Arabidopsis thaliana: one gene and its partner. The protein of the gene in region 1 interacts with the protein of each later gene in a pairwise test. Each region holds a gene or a part of one and is shown on either strand. Other genes may lie near its edges.

The links.
Region 2: the proteins of AT1G47655 (region 1) and AT1G50680 interact in a two-hybrid assay, tested with the Arabidopsis thaliana proteins (one large-scale study listed by BioGRID).

What each region holds. Positions count from the first base shown.
Region 1 is NC_003070.9:17,523,535-17,526,846, reverse strand, and holds AT1G47655 (Dof-type zinc finger DNA-binding family protein), read right to left. Parts: upstream 1,506-3,312; 5' UTR 1,411-1,505; coding exon 781-1,410; 3' UTR 539-780; downstream 1-538. UniProt on the Arabidopsis thaliana protein: Transcription factor that binds specifically to a 5'-AA[AG]G-3' consensus core sequence.
Region 2 is NC_003070.9:18,777,046-18,780,675, forward strand, and holds AT1G50680 (AP2/B3 transcription factor family protein), read right to left. Parts: upstream 1,570-3,630; coding exon 556-1,569; downstream 1-555. Other genes in the region: AT1G50690 (Cystatin/monellin superfamily protein), read left to right, coding at 2,723-2,896, 3,019-3,362, 3,458-3,467.

The DNA of each region.
Region 1 (3,312 bases):
TTAATTATATTCAACACAATTCGTTTTTCTTGCTTTGACCACAATAGGAGACTACACAACAATATCTATTAGCTATATTCCCTACATTCAAATTTTATTTGAACGTTTAACCAAGTACACTCTAGCTGAGATGTTTGACACAAGGATTAAACCTAAAGATTTTTACAAAAAAATAACACTAGCTGATAAGTACACCATAATCTACATTAACCCTAAGAATTTCTAATCCATTGATCGAATGAAAGGTTTTAGTTCTTAGCATTCATATGAATTGTCTCATATGCTAAACACTAGACTCACATGACTTTGATATACAAAATCTTCTACACTGCAAATGAACAATGTTGTTGTTGATGTTTATCTATAATACAAACAAAATTAAGTTCAACGCAATTTCCTCATTTCAAAGATGTAGCAACAGAGCATCTCTTACTCACTTCTGCAACAGTACTTATGTACTTTTTCCCTTTTTGGACTTTTATGCTCAATTCATCTTTCTACATTTGACTATTCCTTTCAAAATATTAACCAACCAAAATAAAAAGAAAGAAACGTTTTTACTTTTTACTTGTAAATCCATTCCAATATGTTCGTCACATAAACAGAGGATTTATACACCAGAATTGTTGGACCTCAAAAACTAAAATAAATAAAAACATTTTTGCTTCAATTTGGTTTCTTTTGCTCTTCTTTCTAGGAAAAAAAAGAAAACAAACAGAAATTTCCAAAAAGACACCAACAAAAGAAGACAAAGGCAAGAAATCAGAAACGGTTTCATTTTCACTTAACATCGTTGGTTTGCATTGAGATCTCAAGACCAGGCCATATCAAACTGTCTCCTCCACTTTTACCTTCAATCTCCCCAATCTGCCACGTGTCACCACCACAACCATCAACCACCGGAATCTCTCCTACGGAAGAATCTCCAAGATACCCAATACTCATCTCCTCAAGCCCGTACCCGTACCCAAACCCGTAATCCAACCCACCATTTCCACTTCCTAAACCTAACAGAGAAGCAAAGCTTCCATGACCTGAAATTAAATTAGTAACCTTAGTTTGACTCGCTTCAGTCGTGGCTGGTTCTTGTGTCGTGGTGGTGATGACGGAAGAAGAGGAGGAAGAGGAGGTGGCAGTGGTGGAGAAAGAACGGTGACGTTTTGAGGAGCTTCGACGAGTTCCACCACCGACGGGGACGTCACGGAGTGTACCACCTTGAGTCCAGTAACGGCGGCAAGATTTGCAGTAGTAGCGAGGCTGAGCGAGGTTATAGTTGTTGTAGTAACAGAACTTGGTGGTGGTGGAGTTGCAGCGAGGACAAGGAAGAGGCTCAGCCAGATTTGGCGGTGGGTAAGCCGCCGTTGAGGGCTGAACTCTGGTGGGTCGGGTTTGGTTTGGTTCCGACGGCATATTAAGTTGAGAGTATGAGAAAACGAGAGAGAAGTTAATGGAGAGAAGAGAGAAGAGAGAAAGCGAAAGAGAAGGGGATGTTGTGAGAGTGGTGATGTGGTTTTTATATAGAGGCTTTTAGACGTTTTTTTCAGTTGCCTTTTATTTATTAATTGATACATATGAATTTAATTTATTTTCCCCTTCTAAAAATAATTTAATTCATATTTAGTTTTTTTTAAAAATAATTTCTTCTATATTAAATTTAACTAAAAAATGGTTAAAATATGAGAGTGGATTTAAAAATAGTATTTACTTCGTTAAAATGAATTATTAGCGGAATAGAGATGAGAGAAAAGTTTGTTGAAGATATTATGAAGCCTTTTCTCATTAATTGTAAAATGATTCTGTACAAATGTCTTATATACTTTACACTATACAATGGTTCTACTAAACCAACTAATACCAACTAAACCAATATACATATCTGATATGCCCCCTCAAGATGTGCATGAAAAGATATTAAGAATGCTCATCTTGGATTTAAGGTGTTCGAATTGATGGGGAAATAACGGATTAGTAAGAATGTCCGCTACTTGGTCTTCAGTTCGCACATGAAGCAACTTCAGCTCGCCATTGTCTAGTTTCTCCCTAACCGTGTGACAATCTAGCTCTATATGCTTCGTTCTTTCATGGAACACAGGATTTGTGGCGATGTAAATAGCAGTTGTGCTATCAGAATATAACACAGGAACCAAGTAGCTAGCTTTTAAAGACATGAGCAAAGTGTGAAGCCATACCAGTTCACACGTAACCAGTGCTAAGGCACGGTACTCAGCCTCTGCAGAAGATCTGGAAACCACATGCTGTTTCTTGGAACGCCAAGATATCAATGAATCACCCACAAACATGCTGAATCCAGTTGTTGATCTCCTACTATCTGGACAGGAAGCCCAATCTGAATCTGCAAAACCTTTAAGAGTAAGATCTGCAGATGCAGAATAGAACAGACCTTGGCCAACACTGCCTTTGATATATTGTAAAACTCGATAAGCAGCTTGAAGATGAGACGTCCTAGGAGCAGAGGAAAACTGACATAACTTGTTAACTGCAAAGGTGATGTCAAGTCTAGTAATTGTCAAATACATCAGCTTTCCTACAATACGACGGTATTGTTCTCTATCATCCAACAAATCACCATCAGTCTTCATCATCTTCACATTCGGGATCATGGGAACTGAAACAGGTTTACAGTTAACCATACCAGTAGATGCTAATAACTCAAGAGCATACTTTCTCTGGCAGATAGAAATACCAGCTTCAGTTCTAGCAATCTCAAGACCCAAAAAATATTTCAAATCCCCAAGATCTCTTAACTTGAATCGCTGTTGTAAATCCTGAGTCAATTGTATTGCAGCACCTTCACTTGTACTCGCAATAGCAATATCATCAACATAAACCAAAACAATCACAAATTCTCCATCATACTCTTTAATAAACAAAGTATGATCACCATGTGTCTTCTTAAAACCCAAATCAAGTAATGAAGCAGAAAACTTCTTAAACCACTGACGAGAGGCCTGTTTCAAACCATAAATGGATCTCTTCAATCGACAGACTGAATTAGGAGGTAGAGTGATACCTTTCCTTGCCGCATAACCTTCAGGTAACTTCATGTAAATCTCTTCCTCTAACTCACCATTCAAGAAAGCATTAGACACATCAAGCTGTTTTAAGAACCATTTCTTAGAGGCAGAAATCTTCAATAACAACTTGATTGTAGTCATCTTTGCCACTGGAGAGAAAGTATCTGTATAGTCTAGACCTTCTTTCTGAGTGTAACCCTTAGCAACCAATCTAGCCTTATACCGCTCAAGACTGCCATCTGCCAAAAACTTCAAACTGAATACCCATTTACACCCT
Region 2 (3,630 bases), 1.3 Mb from region 1:
AATAAAAATCGTAATTATGTTCAAAAACAAAAAAATGTAATTTTGCGTTGGAACAAAGAAAAATATTATAATCTTTTTTACTTTTTGTTGGATGTTGTTAAATAGAATTTCTCTAAAATAAATTTTCAGTTGATTTTACATTTATTTTTATAAAATTATTCAAATTTATTAAGTTCATAAATAATCTTTAGTAAGTTTTATTTGTGACATTTTTTTTTTCTTTTCATTTTTTACTCTTTTATTCTTGAGAAATTGATAAAAACTAATTGACCAGTTAACAAATACTATTGATAAGATTTTTTGGTTAAGTCTTTCTTCTTATAAGGCCAAAAGCTTCTGAGCTTGTCATGAGTAAACTAGCAATCTTGGTGGTTATGCATTGCGAGTAGCTCACTTTGATAATGGTTATCGAAATCTAAACCAGTAACGAAGCATTGAGAAAATCATTTAGTAAACCAATCTCTAGTTAAGTAAAACAATTTTGTTAATAAAAATTCATGAGGTACAAGTAAAACAAGTTCTAGTTGAAGTAAGAAACTTTTAAAGAAAAATTCCCTAAGGACATTCGATCCTTACACCAAACAGCATAAACCCTCCTTTGTTCTCCTCTGATTTGGTTTCTTTATCTTCTAACATGGAGCTAACCAAGTTTTCTGTTTTCTTTACTTGCACTGAACTGTCATGAACCGTCATACTTACTTCCTCAGCTACCACGGAACCGTTGTCTGAAAAGCAATGAACATCGATCATCAAGAAGTTCTTTCTTTGACCTTCTAATGTCTTCACATTGTTCGGGACATCGCAAGTGTAGAAGGCAATAACATCCTTCTCCTTGAGATTCTTCTCCTTCACGAAACTATTCCATCCTCTGGTGAAGACAAAGCTCTGGCTACTTTTCCAGTAACAATACCTAAACTTCCATTGTCTCATTGCTCTGTCGTAAAACACAACCTCCACATCTTCCACAGATCCTACTATTTCACCCTCTTCTTTCTCGCTTTGATCAGCGCTTATGAAAGGCATATACTTCACTGCATACTTTTTAGGTATCACAAGCCTATTTAGTTTCCCTACATCGCTCGGTGTCAATTCCTTCTGAAAAAGCTGTGTGCAAGAAAAACACTTGTCTGATTCTTGATTCACTTCTCCTCGGGCTTGTTTTGGTCCCCCGATGTTGATACTCGCAACAATCTGAGATCTGATTCTGAGAAAATCTCTGAATTTGTGTTGGTACGAACCGTCTCTGATCATGTTCAACACAGTCTCTGTTGTGTAGCAATTTTGAAAGTCTGGTTCGTTGAGAGTGATTGTAGACCAAGGGAAGTTCCGGTGCGAGTTAGCGTCAAAGCTTCGGAGTTTGATAGATGCACTATCGTAAGCCGTGGCGGCTTCATCAGCGGATTTGAAAGTTCCAAGCCAAATCCTTTTGTGGTCTGCGTAAATCTGGGCACCCCAATGACCGTTCTGTTGCTGAACGACTCCTTTGTACTTGACATTGCCAGAAGCCACAACCGTCTTTGGTGAAGACGAAACCACTAGGGCGTTTTCTGGTTCGTCATCAAGTCTCATGCGTTTCTTGAGAGGCAAGAAAGAGTCGCTTGAACCTGAAGACACTGAAGTCTCCGTCTTTGCGTCGTCGATGTTGTTCATTAGAATTCAAGAAACAGAGTAGTAGAAAGATACGAGAGACAGAGAAAGAGAAGCGAAACAAAACGATGAAGAAATATGAGGAACAGAGAGAGAACTATATAAAGAGAGCAAATCGTGGGAGCAAATTGTGTTTCTTAATCTTGTTGTTTCTTGCGGTGCTTGAGTATTTATCAAGTTATCATTTTCCATTTTCTATTTGTTGTAGTTTCTATAATTTAGCTATGAGAGAAAATTATGGAAAGTATTGAAATTAAAGAATTTCCATGTTTCGTCGGTTCATTAATTACTTGATATATCTGATTGGATAAAAAATGGAAATACGTGAGAGAGCCGCTGGAAAATATCATCAAGTAACTTATTAGGGTTTTATGTTTACCCTAATTTTATCATTCATTAACAAAACGTTTCTCATCTCATGTGGTTGAGTATTTTTTTTATTTCTTCATTATTATTTGTTTTCCAATAAGTCAACTAAAAACAAAAGAAAAATTAACAAAAATATTTCTCTATGTAAAAATTTAGCAAGTTTTGAGAAGCAGAAAAAGGTACACAGTAAATGGAAAGAATACAAAACGTACGTTTAATGATGTACAACAATTAGGCTTTTGCAATCACCACGATCACGACCAATTAGGGTTACACATCTGCTTCCGTGATGGGCAAATAAGACATCTGAGATTCCTAATTTAAAACTTCAGAAATTTAATTTTGATGAGATTTCGTCTACTTGATTATACGAAAGGAAGGAATAGTTATGATTTGATTTGACTTTTAATTTTCCGGATTTGGATTTTTAACTTTGAAAACTAGTGAGTATTTTTTAACCAAATTTAACCGATCTAGATTAATTTTAACAACCACAATGATGATAAGGTTTTACAATAATCATCTACTAGCTAGTTTAGTGTCTCTACACGAATTTTCTCTCTTGGAGGCTTGATATTTTCTTAGTCACTTTTTTTCTTTTTGTTTTTTGTTTGTTGTGCACACTATAAATAGAAGAGGGACCTTTTTTTTATCTTGAATGATAGAAGAAACAGAGAATTAGGGTTTCATCTAATCTGCCATAGTTATGGATCCGCAGGTGGTGGTCGATAAGAAATCTGAGGAGCCTGATCTGAAGCGTCAGAAGCTGGAGGAGGAGGAGGAGGAGGATTGCGAAGAGATGTCTTCGTACAGCGAGTCGACGTGTAGTTTCGATTCGGAAGATGAACGATTGGTCGAAGAAGAATACCAAAGAAGCGGGGTATGTAGTTGTAATGATCCACCAATCTCTCCTTCGCTTCTTACTTTTTCGAATTGAGATTTTGTCTGTGATTTCAAAAGCATTATGTCGGCTTCTCTCATGAATGTGATTGTTGTCTGTAGTATTACGACTTTGACACCACGAAACAAAGACGCCTTGTGTTTTGCTATCCTGTTATCTTCGAGGATAGTGACGTTGCTCATAAACCCGAAACCGACGGAGATTTGGTTCATAGATTATCCAAGATTGCTCTTCAGAAATACAATGATGATAAGCTGGAAAATCTTGAACTTGTGAGAGCTGTCAAGGCTAATCGGAAATATGGAGCCGGATTCATTTTCTACATCACCTTCGAGGCCAAGGATGCTAATTCTCACACTGACCCCATTACTTTTCAAGCTGCCGTTCGCTACCTTCGAGGGATTGAAACGGTCTACCGTGTCCACCCTAAACCATTATTAGATTCGTAAGCTCTAAAATTTTCCCATCCTACTAAGTTTAAGTTGTTATTGATATGTGTTTTGGTAAAATCTTGTTTTTTTTTGTGTGTTTACTGTTTAGGACCAAGTAGTGGCAGATGTAACGGGATGTTCCTTTGTATAATGACATTCTACTCAACTTTCTATTTATCTGCAAACTTCTTTACCGTTTCTGGGATAAACTTATGCATCTTTTACTCTCGTACCATTAAGCTGTGTGTATCTTTAACTTCTATTGCGACAAGTTGTTTACTT